Lonchura striata: one gene and its partner. The protein of the gene in region 1 interacts with the protein of each later gene in a biochemical or structural test. Links are inferred from orthologs where the notes say so. Each region holds a gene or a part of one and is shown in the gene's direction. Other genes may lie near its edges.

Evidence for each region.
Region 2: the proteins of ANXA7 (region 1) and SRI interact in a biophysical measurement, tested with the Homo sapiens proteins (2 studies listed by BioGRID and IntAct, with this or other methods). The link is inferred for Lonchura striata from reciprocal best matches to the Homo sapiens genes ANXA7 and SRI.

What each region holds. Positions count from the first base shown.
Region 1 is NC_134609.1:12,803,924-12,811,406, reverse strand, and holds the start of ANXA7 (annexin A7), read left to right. Parts: upstream 1-4,406; 5' UTR 4,407-4,499; intron 4,500-5,963; 5' UTR 5,964-5,964; coding exon 5,965-6,021; intron 6,022-7,483. Other genes in the region: EIF3F (eukaryotic translation initiation factor 3 subunit F), read left to right, coding at 240-317. UniProt on the Homo sapiens protein: Calcium/phospholipid-binding protein which promotes membrane fusion and is involved in exocytosis.
Region 2 is NC_134603.1:135,328,459-135,335,783, forward strand, and holds the start of SRI (sorcin), read left to right. Parts: upstream 1-3,998; 5' UTR 3,999-4,097; coding exon 4,098-4,145; intron 4,146-4,788; coding exon 4,789-4,872; intron 4,873-7,325. UniProt on the Homo sapiens protein: Calcium-binding protein that modulates excitation-contraction coupling in the heart. Contributes to calcium homeostasis in the heart sarcoplasmic reticulum. Modulates the activity of RYR2 calcium channels.

The sequences.
Region 1 (7,483 bases):
CCTTTGACTTCTCTGGTTAACATGGGTGAACTCAGAGTTAAAATTTCACAAGCAGTGTTTCATATGCCAGGAATACCAAAAGCTTCCTGCAAGGGAAGCATTCCTCAAGGTAGGACTTTCAGGGCTAACTATTTCTTGTAGCTGATTGTAAAATGTTTTACAGATGTTAAAAATTCAGCTATCTAATAAGCTATGATTTGTTAATATTTCTGATCACTGTTTTTTCCCCTCCCTTTCAGGACCTACTGATGGTAACCTACTTGGCAAATCTCACACAGTCACAGATTGCTCTCAATGAAAAACTTCTTAGTTTATAAAGAAACTTTTGCCACCCTACACTTAAAGGAACCTGAAGAATGAGCAGATACACTTTTCTGTGGTGTTAGAAATTTCCTTGGACTGTAATTTAATTACCTACATGACTTGGTTTACATTGTTATTTCCACTGCTCTGAAAAATCCCTAACATGTTTTAGGAAATGAATGGGGACAACTGCAGTTCAGTTGAACCTGCTATTTTAAAATGGAATATGAGAATCTTAACATCTTGTGGGTTTGTCTACTTGTATAACAAAATACAGCTTTATTGTAAGAATGTATTTGGAATAAAAGTTCCATTGCAGTGGCAACAATGGCTTCTGTCCAGAAAAAAAACTTCCTCATTTATTGTGTAATGAATCCATTTCTGAAAGGGGGGCGGGGGGTGGTGGTAAGAGGCATCAGGAAAGAAAGCATGGATGGGAGTGAAGTCCAGTTCTTTGCAGGTTTTTTTTCCAACTGCTAAAGCACACTGAAAGTGTAGGGATTTGTTTTGCATATAATATGCTTTACCATGAAGGACTGTAGAATAGTCTCTGGTGTATTAGTGGTGCTGTGTATATCCCTTCATCAGGCTACGAAACAGTAAATTCAATTTATGGTATCACTTCTATGCATATAATTCTGATTGTTTGGGAAAGGAAGTAAAGGTCAATAGCATTAGCCCCTCATAAAGAGGGAGTTAGAGAATTAAAGCCAGCAACTGAGTTCATGGTAAAAGAGTTTGAAAAGCATTTGTGACTAAACAAGCTTGGCTACCGGAGTTTCCATCTTTGCCAAAGAAGAAAAGGACAGCAAAATGACAATCCATTAGATTTGAGGTTAAAAGTTGGGTGTTGCCAAACAGGAGTTTTCTATTTCATAATGCTGTACTGCTGCCAAAATTATGTGTAAAGAAACCTCATTTTCTCCCCAAGGTATGTTTCATGTTAACTAAGTACCAGCTGGAAGAAAGCAAATACAAATATCAGCTGTAACTTTGCACAGTCTCTGCCAATAGCATTACTTTTAGAAGGCTTACAGTTCAGCTGTGCTGAGGAGGGACTCTGCTTTAACAGAGTTAAACCATCCCTCTTCTACAATAAAACTCTTCCCTCCTTACTAAGGACTGTATCTAGTTTGGTGAATGAATTTGAAGTATCCAAAGAGTGTTCTCCAAAACTGGTAATTTCCCAGCTAAACCCAAGAAGAAGACTCAGATTACAAATCTACAGATCCTGTAGTGGTTGTTCCAATCTAGAAAGTTCCCCCAGCGACTGAATGCTAAATTCTAATTGCAAGGTCAATGTAAGTGAAAACTGAAGGTCCAGAAAAGATACTCATCTCCTTGAAAATGTTATTTTTGAGCATTAAATAAGATTAGAATTCAACTCTGTTTTTTTAATAGTCTCAATAAAAATGTTTTGCTTTCCTTTCTCTTCTTTAAACTTAATATTCTTAAATTCAGCCATTTAATGGTTCAAATTTTTCAGATCATGGTGTTTTTTGAAGAAAGTTTTGACATAGCAACCACAGAATAGCAACTTCATTTGGTGATTATTTCCATGTACTGGGATGAAGGTCACTAAATTTGTGTTTTTAGTTGAGTCACTTCAATTTATTGGCAGAAAACTTAAATCTACTGCTAAGAGGAGGTAGTGTTTCAGTGTGTGGTTTTGTGAACCTGTTGACGTACGCCACCTGTACCTGAAATTCACGGGTTCAATCCAAATGATTAAAATTGATGTGAAAACGTTAGACACACAGCCCTTCTAGAACAGTTAAGCAGCATAAGCTGCTGTTTTCCTGTGCTTTGAGGAAGGGTGAAGCTTCGGTTTCCTCACTGGGGAAGCAGAGGCTGGTTGGCAGCTCTCGAAGGGCGGTGTGAAGCCCTGATGCTCGGAGCAGGGCGGGTGGAGCACTACATGACTCAGCGGGCAGTGACTGCCTCGCCAGCTAACCAAGCACAGGCTCCTCCTGCCTCCTCCGGGAGCTGCGCTCGCTCCGCTCCCCGCACACGGAAGGTTAACAGCTTACTGCGACTGCATTTTAATAACTGCAGTCACAAGGCAGTCTAACAGGAGAAGTGGTTTTAGTACATAATGTAGACTTGGGCCACTGCAGTAGCCTGTGGGTTTGTTACACTTTGACCTATGGTTCAAAGCTGACCAGTTCTTACAACAAACTTGGGAAAAATCTTAGTTTTTAATTTAATTAGATTGGCTGGAGTCATGCTTTATATTACTTAAGTAGGAAATAATGGTCCAACCAGGACACACAGAGAAGCAGCAATTCTTTAGCTGCCTACATCACTAACAATAAATTCCTCTGAGAAAAAAGTTGTGTTTCAGCTATTTTGACAGCACTCAGCACAAATGCATAGTTGAGCCAAGTCACTCCAGACCAGAATTCTGTCCAGTACCATGTCTAGGATCAGATGCAAGAATATTACAAAAGAGAAGAACAAAGTTTGTCTCTCCACTAAACTTGAATTTTCTAATCGTGAGAAGCTGCCTTAACTCTGCATGGGGTTTTAGGAGCTTTCCTAAATGTGTGGATTCTAGGTATAAGTAGCAAGCCAAGAGATTTCCCTAAATACAGAAATTAGATGACACCCAATGGTTCCATTGCATGATTTAACGAAGTAATTCCAAACATTCTCGTTGATACATAAACATTCAATGCATTTAACAGATTCTTCAAACACATGTAATTTTGTTTAAAATAGTCTCTTCTTCCTTTTACACAAAAAGAAAGGAATTTGTTTTAAAACATTTTTTCTTTTCTTGAGTAGCTTAAGTCAAAACAGTCCACTAAATGAAAAAGAATTGTATATTTTATAAATGTACTTGGTTCCCATGGAAACAAGGATTAAAATATTTACCTGTCCTGAAAGAAATGTGCTTAACAGGTAAAAGAAAGAAGACATGCACTCGGAGTGTCAGCTGAAGAATGCTGTGAGGATTAAATTCTTAAAGCCACTCCTGATGTGTTCTGGGTAGACAAGAGAGAACAAGCCCAATTTTCCTGGATAGGTAATGTATTAGATTCATGTGGCTTTAGGTGCTCTTCATTTGAAGCAAGCAAGCATGGTAAATTATTACCCATCTATTTTCTGCTGTCTGCACTTCACACTGTTCTATGGGTAAAGAGAACAGTGGTTGTTATTTCATCTAGAACTGAAGTGCTGCACCAGGTTACAGAAAAGAACCAAAGCTGTTTGTATTGGAATGGTCTCCAAACTGCTAGCATGTCTGTCATAAACAAAAAAGGAAATGTTTTTAATAATCTAAAGTAACTGGTGCATAATATCATAGGTGAGTCCTTCATAAATAAAAGTCTTGTTTGTCAGAATGCCTTATGAATAATTAACCATCAGGTAAAGAAAGGACCACATCTGTGCAATGACTATTCAAAGTATAATATTAATAAACATTACAAAAGACAGAAACAAAACAGTAAGGGCACTCCCCATAATTACATACAAATAACTATAATTAAGATTTCTTTCTAGAAAAAATGTATGTAGTAGTCAGTCAATCCTACCTTTATGTCCTCTTGGGACTTAGATCCTGGTCTTCAGCAACTACAGCAAAAGGAGCAGCTCCTCCAGCTGCATGCAATTAGTTCTTTTTATATTCTCTGCCTGTTGCATGCAGTTCCGGTGGTGACTTGATGGACTCCCTGCAGCTACTAAACAATGATCTTGATTTAAAGACGCATGTGTTACTGAATTACAGACTTGACTTAAACCTACGCGCATTAGGGCTGAATTCATTGCAGTGGTGCTACGGGGAAACTGCAATGTGGACTTTTCTCTCCTTTTCCTAGCGGGTGGCACAGGACTCCCGCGGGACAGCATCTCCGGGCGCTTCCTGCGCGCCCGCTTCCCCTGTCACAGCTCCACTGGCCAGTGGCTCTGCGTTTGTGGCACTTGTGCTGCGACCTTACCTCCCGTCCGTCCCGAGACAGCACCTCGGGCACCTCGCAGCTTTCCTTGAGCGAGCCGAGGCGAGCCTGCACGGGCAGCAAAGGGTTCTGCGCTGACAGGGCCCTCACCATCGGCACCGGGTGCGGTGCCCCCGCCGCGGGCCGGGCGGGGCGGGCTCGGTGCCGGGGGCGGGGCGGGCATCGCCGGCCGCACGGGCTCCATTTTGCGGTGTGGCTGCGGAGAGAGGCCGGAGGCTCCGCAGGTTCCCTCAGGTGAGGTGACTGGGGGGAGGGAGGAACGGCCGCCCGCCGCTCGCGTGCCCCTCGCCCCAGCGCCCGGCCCGGCCCGGCCCCGCCCGGGGCCTCGGCCCCGGCCCCGGCTCTGCCGGCACGTCGCCCGGGGGCTCGGCCGCGGCTCCGGCTCTGCTCTCGCACCGCCCGGGGGCTCGCCCCGGCCCCGGCCCCAGCCCCGGGCGGCGCTCCCGGAGCCGCGGCCGCTCGGGGCTCGGCAGGTGTCCGGCCGAGGGAGGTGCCGCCTGTCCCAGGGAGCCGCACTCCCGGCGGGGGCTGCCCTGGCGCTGTGGAGCGGGGACGCGGTCCGGTGGCCTCGGGAGAGGCAGGTACCGGGACACCGGGGTACTTGCCTCCGTCCGCAGCTCGCCGAAGGATTCGCCGTGCCGGGCCGCGGCTGAGGGAGCGGGAGGAGCCTGGGGCGATGCGTGACTGCCCGGAGCGGAGCGGGGCAGCGCCAGGCGGGGCCCTTCAAGGCGGCGGGAGCGGGCCCGTGCTGCCGGCGGAGCGCCGGGGAAGCGTCTCCGTGCTCAGCGGCTGCGCTGCCGCCCAAGGCACGGAGCGCGCCGCTGATGTTTCACCGCGGGCCGGTGCCGCAGCTGACTCAACTCGGCCCCCGCTTTAACCCGCCCCGCGCCCATCCAGGACAGCGGGGGGAAACGAGAGTCTGACGGAAAAAAAAAAAAAAAATCTGTTGTTGTTTTCGTTCTAAAATTAGTTACGTCGAGCCACTGTTCAACTTGAGGATGCTTGTGCCAAATTTAAAGTCCATTTTTCTTCCCCCTGTCGTTAAAAGTTTCATAACCTGGCTAATGGTGTCGAATCTCCCTGCAACATGCAGGATGGGGTGATCTCTATCCCCACTCCCCAAGATCCTCTGTTAAAAATGTGACTAAAAGAAACAGTCACTTGTCAGGAAATAGAAATTTCCTCCACAAATGAAGTTATGCTGAGGGATGTTCAAGAACAGGGACCTGTTCTTCTCCAATTGCCATTTTACATGGGATAGCTCGGGTACTGCTCTTCTCCCAGGAACTACCCCTGTGAGCAGAGCAGTGCAGGATGACACATACAGGTGCTTGGTTGCAGTCCAGAAACCTGCATGGTTTCTGTCCTGCCAAAGGGTCCAAACTCCCTCCTGCTGGCACCTCAGAGTATATCTTGTATTTCAAAGCTTTCTGGAAGTTTGAGCTTCTTACTATGCGTAAATGTCTCTCTGACTTTAAATAAGGGTGATAGTAAATTGACTATAATTACTATAAGTTGAAAATGCTTCCCTTCTGAATTCTGATTGCTATGGTCAGATGTAGGAGAGAAAAAGAGGAAAAGTTCTGTGGATAAATTGCAGATTATTCAAGTAATAGATAATTAGTAAGCAAATACCTACTACAAACTCAGAGGTAGTGCTTCACAATGAAAATACCTTTTTTATTTTTTCTTCCCCAGAATGTCATACCCAGGTTATCCCCCTTCTGATGGCTACCCTGCTTTCCCAGGTTATCCTGTAAGTATGGCACTTGGATGTGTTGCATTCCTAATGCATTTCTATTCTGTGAATATCCCTTCTGACTGTGCTCCATGTGTCTGTAAGTAGTAGCTAGTAGTGAATAGTAGTAGTCAGTTCATGTACCCTGTTCTCTAGTGATTATGGTCTTTGTTTTCCTCTGTATATCTCTGGGGATGACTACAGCTGTCACACAAGAATTCCAAAAAAGACATTTAGTTTTTTTAGTGATGCCCATTGTTCCAGAAAGGTCATTGGTTTTGTTTTATTTTATCTTGTGAGCCTGTTTTTTTAAATACAGCTGTCTCATCTCAACAATTCTCTCTTTTTTTTTATTTTAAAAGTTTCTTCTGCAAACAGAAGGCCTTTTACATGTAGGGTTAGAAGCAATCTCTGAACCAATCTGTACAAAATACTCACATAGCCATATCCCAGGATTTACAGAGATGTTAAAAAAGCTTCAGTGGTCACAGCCATCAGGAAGAACTTGGAACACTTCACTCAAGTAGCCCAGCTTTCATATAACATCAAGTAATTATTTTTCTGAGGATAGAGGACACTGTGTCTTGACTACCCTATCCACAGGACTGTTCCACCTTCATGTCACAATTGAATGGACTAAAAATTTGAAGGAAACTTAATGGAAGGCTGAAATGTATCAGGTATGGCTGATACTGCAGTCTTTTTGATATGCCTGCAATATTTTCCAAAGCTAGATTGATCTCTGTGTTTTTATGGCACTGATCATGGCACTCACAGCACTTTCATGGTACTTGTCATGCTGTAATTGTGGGAGTTTTACTGGTGTTCTATGCAGTACAGAAGCAGACTTAGGCACGGATCTCAGCCCGAAAGCCTTTAAGATACTGAAAAGATACAAATATGGCAAAATATAAATATACACATATAAGTACATGCAATAAATTCTCTGATGATTTTGCTTTACACCCTACCCTTACTTCGTCTAAAAGATTAAAGTCAGTCAAATGAAAGACAAACATGTTAGAAACAAGATGATTAACTCTAGAATTTCTTTTCTTCCCTTAAGGTTCTGCTGAACCCTCATGATTTTAGCTGTAGTTCATTTTCAACTACATTTGAAAAAATATTTTTTTCTTAGCTAGGATCTAAAAAATAGCTTCAATGAATTAATTTAAAATACCTTTTAGACTTGTTATCAAGTCTCATTCCTAGTCTCATTGATGATGCCCAATGTGATAACCAATTTAAAAAGCACATGTGAAATTGTTGTTTTCTGCAGCACTGGTAGTAATCTGAGCAGGGCTTTACATCCTAAATTTGGATTATTGAATCTAAATTCCAGTAAAGTCTTTTTGTTGAGTCAGGCAGAGAAATGTTAGACTGTACCTCTGGGGAAAAGAATATTATATAGCCTGGGCATAGTAATTTGGGGGTAGAAATCTGGGGGCAGTCAAACCCAAGAACATTTGAGCTAGGCTTT
Region 2 (7,325 bases), on another chromosome or scaffold:
GTAGAACAGATGGGCAAGCAGAAAGTCTGTGACTTGTCTTGGGTTTATGCTAGCCTTGGTTCACTGTGAGGAAGCATTGCACACATAATGAGTGTGAATTGTGACCAGAGTTTAAGGCAGTAACACTATTACTGTAGCTCAGTTCTGAATTCTTTCTTAAAATCCTACTAAAAAGAATCCAGAAAAAGCTATGGAATGAAAACTGTGCACATAATTTTCCCTTTCTAAACAAAATTATTTTACCTAGGCATTTTCTTAGAAAAATACAGTGAATTATCTCAGAAAAAAAAAAAAAAAAAAAAAAAGGCAATAGTACTAGCATCCTATGTTGCTTGACTTCGATTTTCCCACTAGAGGGATCACACACTCTTTGAGATCTGCAAAATCAGAAGCTATTTATTCCACACAGATTTCTTACTGGTGTGTTTGTAATATGATGAACTTAAGGAAATTTAAAAGGTTACCACAGCTCAGTCACCCTTCAGAAGGCAGATGTGTACTCATTAATCTCCTCTAATATCCTTCCTTTGCAGCCTTTTTCTCAGATAAGGAATAAGCAAATGCACCAGTGCAAACAAAATGCCTACCCAACAATCCATTTAAAATACATCCCTTGGTTACATCTGTCTCCTAGCTCTTTTGCTTATGTATGTTTAAATATAAATAATGCAAATGTTAACTACTAAGTGCAGTGCATTTGGGCCCCTCACTACAAGCAGGACACTGAGTGGTGGGGTGAGATCAGAGAAGGGCAACAGAGTTGATGAAGAGTCTGGAACACAAGTGTGATGAAGAGTCTGGAACACAAGTGTGATGAAGAGTCTGGAACACAAGTGTGATGAAGAGCAGCGGAAGGACCTGGGGTGATTAGCCTGGAGAAAAGGAGGCTGAACTGAGACAGAACTCTCTACAACTGCCTGAACAAAAGGTTGTAGTGAGGTGGGGGTCAGTTTCTACTTGCAAGTAACAAAAGAGGAAATAGACTCAAGTTGTGCCAGGGGAGCTTTTTGGATATTTGGAGAAATGTCTTTATTGAAAGCATTGTTGAGCTTTGGAGCAGACTGCCCAAAGAAGTGGCAGAATTACCATCCCTGGGGAAATTAAAAGACCTGTAGATGTGACAATGAGGGACATGGTTTAGTGGTGGGCCTGGCAGTGCTGGATTAACAGGTGGTCTCAATGTTCTAAGAGATATTTTCCAGCCTAAACACTATGATTCGATGAGTGCCAGGCGTCTCAGCAGAAGTACTGAAAATGGAGAGTGGCCAGTTATTTACACTGAGTTAAAGTACAGAAAAACCCTACCCCAAATTATGAAATATCTTCCTTTTTCTATACAACTACAGCTGTACAGTGTAGTGTCTTTATCTACCAACTGGTATAAATCATACCTGTTTGTTTCTCACTGAAGTAATGAAAAATTCATTCCTATTAAGTTACTAGCAATATGTATATACCATTTGAAATTTTGTTTATCACTGTATAACTCTTCAAATCTTATCACTTATATTCTTTGCCACTTATTTTTAATCTAATATTTTTATCACTGTTCCTAGGTCCTATTTTAATTAGGAGGGCTTTTTGCCTAGACTTTAATATATGTAGTTTAACAAAGTTCAGCACAGAGCCTGCAATAACCTGCACTGCACGTGATTAAGTTTGGTCAAAACAACTATCTGACAACCACACATCTTGATATCAACACTCTTAGTTAAATACCCTTGTGAGATAGGTATTTCTTAAGCCAAGAAATTATACAGGGTCACTACTTTGTTTCTCAGTTGCTTCATAGCTTCATATATGTTATTCTGTGTGATTAAAGCATTAAATAATTATTTGTCTCATTTGGCAATTCTATTGGTTATTATATTACACAGAACAACAGTTTTGTTTTCACGTCATTGGCAATTGTTAGCAGTTTTAAGGTGCAAATAATGCTAAAATAATAAAATATATTCCACATAGAAAATGTCTGAAAGTCCTGTTTACTAGATGACTTAGAAGCTGAGAAAAGTGACTCACTTTAAATGAAAAGTTTACTATAAATTAGCATACTTAAATGAATTAAGGTCTTATTCAAATTTCTAATGTTCTTCAGAAATTATGTCAATAAACAAAAATAATAAATTGTTGTGCTTCCAGATTTCTGACAGCAGACCATTTGCCCTGCAAGGTCTCTATTAGGAGACCTGTTTCAGTCATACAGACTCCAGCAACTGATTTTTCATCATCTTGCGTCTGAATTAAATAGCGCTCACTGGGAGAGGGGGGGAATTCTGTGTTTTGCAAAGTCGCAAGACCAGCTGAGACCAAGCCGTGGCCGCTCCGGCTGATGCTGCTCCCTGGGGTATTGGGCGGTCAGCGGGAGAAAACCACGGGCTGCACCGGGGAGCGCCGCCGGCCGGGAGGAGGCTCTTGCATCAAAGGCGGTGCTCTCCCGGTAATCCCCCAACCCGGAGCGGCCCCGACGGAACGCAACAGGGCTCCCTCGCTCCACTGGGACACGGCTCCTACTCCAGAATTTGGAGCTACAGACCCAAAGGAAATTATACAGATTCTTCTGTGTCTTTGGGGTCAGGGATGGGTGGTCCGGTTCTGAAGGAAAAGCAACGGTACCAACAGAGAACACGTAAGGATGAGTTTGGGATGCACGATACGGATGCACCGACTGCCGAGTCTATGAGTCTTGCGGTCTTTTGGCAAACCACGAGTCGGTGGTTCTGAAATCATCAACCGATTCACCGGTGAACATGTCGGGAGCTTTCCTGTCACCTTAGTGGGTGACAGCCGCCACGGAACACCATTTTCCGCGGAGCCCCGGGATGCGCCAGGGACTGGCTCCAGCTCCGCCTCCTCCTCCGCGGAGCGGTTCCGTCCACGGGCCTCGCCTCCCGCGGGTGTCTGAGAGCTGCTGGCCGGGAGCCGCCGGCGAACTGAGCCCGCAGCGCCGAGCCAGCGCCCTCAGCGCTGCCGCACTGACAGAGCCACTCCCCCCGCATCCCGCACTGACACAGCCACGTCCCCCGCATCCCGCACTGACACAGCCACTCCCCCTTCATCCCGCACTGACACAGCCACTCCCCCTTCATCCCGCACTGACACAGCCACGTCCCCCGCATCCCGCACTGACACAGCCACGTCCCCCCGCATCCCGCACTGACACAGCCACTCCCCCTTCATCCCGCACTGACACAGCCACTCCCCCTTCATCCCGTACTGACACAGCCACGTCCCCCGCATCCCGCACTGACTCAGCCACTCCCCCTTCATCCCGCACTGACACAGCCACGTCCCCCCGCATCCCGCACTGATACAGCCATGTCCCCCCGCATCCCGCACTGACACAGCCACTCCCCCTTCATCCCGCACTGACACAGCCACTCCCCCTTCATCCCGCACTGACACAGCCACTCCCCCCGCATCCCGCACTGACACAGCCACGTCCCCCCGCATCCCGCACTGACACAGCCACTCCCCCTTCATCCCGCACTGACACAGCCACTCCCCCTTCATCCCGCACTGACACAGCCACTCCCCCTTCATCCCGCACTGACACAGCCACGTCCCCCCGCATCCCGCACTGACACAGCCACTCCCCCCGCATCCCGCACTGACACAGCCACGTCCCCCCGCATCCCGCACTGACACAGCCACGTCCCCCCGCATCCCGCACTGACACAGCCACTCCCCCTTCATCCCGCACTGACACAGCCACTCCCCCTTCATCCCGCACTGACACAGCCACTCCCCCTTCATCCCGCACTGACACAGCCACGTCCGCCCGCCGGGCCCCAGGCAGCGCCGCGCCCCGCCCCGCTGCGCCGGGAAACGCCGCCGCGGGGCCATGGGCCTGTACCACCGCGCCGCAGGGGGAACTCGGCGGAGAGGAGATCGGAGCGGGCGGTCCCTCGCCTCCCGACGGCACCGCCCGGCACCGCCCGCTGCCCTGCTGACGGCAGGTCGCCGCTTGCCCCGCCCGGGGGGCGGCGGGACGCGGGCTCCGGGAAGGGCCGGGGCTGGAAGTCGCCGCCCTCCCTCCGTATGCGAGTGGTTGCTCCCGGGCGCAGCCGGGCCGCCGGAGCCGGTGCCAGGCGAAGATGGCGTATCCCGGGCAGCCCGCGCCCGGCGGGTTCTACCAGGGCGGGGTGAGCGGGGCCGGGCCCGCGGGGCGAGGGGCCGGCGGGGCCCGGGGCAGCGGCGGGAGCCGGGCCGGGCGCAGTCTGCCCGGCCGGGCGGGGTCCGCCAGCTCGGGGCTGCGGAGAAGGGAGGGAGGAGGCACCTCCCCCGCAACTGCTGCCGGGGAGAAAGTCAGTGCTGGGGGTGTCATTCCGTGATTTTCACTTAGGAATCGGTTTTCTTTAAGGGTTTTCACACTTAATACGTATTCTTCCATGTATTTGCCCTAGACATCTGTTTTGCTCAACTTTTCTGGAGTGGAAAAAAAATTTGTAGTGCCTTAGTGTTTCTTAAGCACGCCGTTTTATGCTGGGGGTAGAATTAAAACGAAACCTTGGTGAGATAGACCAGGCTGTATCTAGATCAGTCGATTGCTCCTGTGCAAGGTTTTACACTGATCTGCTTACATTACAATACATTATGTATTTAGTATGTCAGTACTGAAATTCAGAGTTGGTTTGGGGCATTTTTTTCGTGAGGAGTTTCGGTTTTGGTTGCTTTGATTTTTTTTTTTTTTTAAGGCATGGTGTGTACATAAAAACGTATGTTGATAAGTACAGATCCTTAACTGAATTACTGATTTAAAATTAATTTTCTTTTTTGTTTCCAAAGTATGGAGGAGCTCCAGGAGGACCAGCATTCCCTGGACAAGCTCAGGATCCTTTGTATGGTTATTTTGCTGCAGTAGGGGGGCAGGTAAACTTATAAAATGTTATTTACTTATTGGATTTTTTTTTCTTTTTGAGGAATACTCTCTATCTTTGGAAGGAGAAATGCCTAGTATTTGCAGCCCCAATACCCCAGGGAAAAAATCTGATGTTTCTAGTTAAAAAAAAAAAAAAACTGTAATTGTTTTACTTAGCCTATTTGCTATATATATATGTCTGTATTGGTCTATGTTATAGCTGTATACATACTATATAATTTGAATAATGCTGTTTGTTTCTGTATTGTATGTGCAAATACATACATACATACACAAACATAGACATGTATGCCTCTATTTCCTATATAGGTAAATGCAAGGGATATATAGATGCATGAAGTTTTGTAACTGAATTGTGACTCAGCTCTGGGCTGGTGAATGCTGCCAGGTTTAGGAGAAAGAAAAGAGAAAGAGTGGAAAGTGTGGGCTGTGGAGATGGCCTGGCTAAGAGCAGGAAATGATAACAGGAAAGAGGTCATTACATGATCTTAATAGACTCACAAATGGAAAAGCATCATGCATTGTGCCAGCATCTGGGTTTACTGTTAACATAGAGTGATTATTCTTCTAGAGGAAAGGCTTTCACAACTTTTTTTTTTTCCTTCCCTGTCATTCTGCACTGCATTTTTAATTTCTTTCCTGTAATTTTGTGGCATATATTGTTTTTGTATGATCATGTATGTTGCTAGAAATACGTGCTCTTTGAACTGTGTTACAGAGTTTAGGAGCAATTAAGTTAGGTTTATTGAGCTGAAGTTCCGTGTTTGCCATATTGTATCTATTTATTGCACACTTGTAGGGTGTGTGCAAATCTAAAATTCTGCTCTTGGATCTGCTATCCTCAGGTAGATGCAACCACAACATGAAAATTTAAATTCAGCAATACTAGCTGATGTTCAGATTCCCACCATAACTTAGATTAGTTTTGTTCTCTATGTTACTTTTTTGAATTAATAATGCATCTTGCAGTCTATATCTTACTTCCTTCTAACTGCTTATGGAAATATTTAGACCGTGTGTTTTTGTAGTAAAGGAGAACACTGGAATGACCTGTGTGTAATGAGGCTTTTCTGAGAAGGTGGAGCCCAGAGCTGAGTTCTTTCTGCTGAATGTGCTGACAATTTCTCTGCCAGCTGAGACGTGTCTTCGTGCAGGTGCCTCCTGGATGTGTGCCAGGAATCAGCAGCAGAGCCAGTAGCTGAGGCTGGACAAATTAATAAGCTCCTGTTGTAGAGAAGGGGAGGTATCAGCAAACAGGAAACAGCACTGTGGAGAAAAGGTGGCAGGAGCTGGATTTCAGCAAAACACAGACCATGCCCAGCTTTCTCAAGTGAGGCATGGATACTGGAAGCTGGGGAACCAGTGGGTTGATGGATATGATCAAGTTAGCACTTAAGAATACTTAAGTTAACACTCTGAAATGCTTTCTATTTGTAGTAATTATTCCTTACTGAAATGAACTCAGTAGCTTTTTAAGTTATCCTTGGAATCTGAGGTGTCTGTTTCTGGTACCAGTGGCTGTGCAGAAGTAAAAACCCCTAAGGAGACAGTGAAATGTAACAGATAAATTATCAGTTGCTTTTATGGCCATCCATGCACCTTTGTAAAAAGCTACATCTCAGTTATCCATCTGTACTTACTGTAGAAGGCGTATGTTCTGGTTATGGTTTGCTGCTGTGTTGTTTTTATGCCTATATAATATCTAATGTTTTATCTGAGCTTTCTTTGATGTAGTTTACAATAGAGATCTTGTCTTTGACTTGATGAATTAGTTTTCTTTGTTTACAGAAGAAAGTCACCAAGTATTGTTTCAAATTCAAATTAGAGTCTGAATTTGTAGGACGTAATAATTTGTTTTTTAACCTGTTTGCAAAGCTCATATGCATTGTCTAATTTAACCTGCTTATGTTCTACTAAAAAAAAAAACAAAAAAAGACAAGCATATTTTTGGTAATCTTAATCTTGATTACAGTCATGCTTTTCTATCTTCCTCTATTTTAAAGCTATGCAGTTCCTATCTTTATTTCAGAAGGTACAAAGCCTTTGAAGAGATTAGTTTCTTAATATTAATGGCTATTTCAAATCTCTTTCCCCCCTCACCCCCCGTGAACATAAAGTATAAAATACAGCTGTATAATTAGATTGATGGAGTAGATAGGAAGCAAATTCAGGTTTATCTGTCAGTAACTTTACATGGAAACAAAACATTGTTGCCTTTTTTTCCAGTCCCTGTCAAAAATCATTGAACATAGACTTACTATTTGTCTTGTAAACAATGATACTTAATTTCTGAAAGTTATCAGGCTGTGCTGTTCCCACCATATCATTTAGTAGCATATCTCTGTTGTTGAAAAAAAGAGCTTTCAAAAGTGGGTTAAAAAATTAGGAAGATGCTGTAGCAAACAGAATCACAGAATATGGTGAGTTGGAAGGGACCCACAAA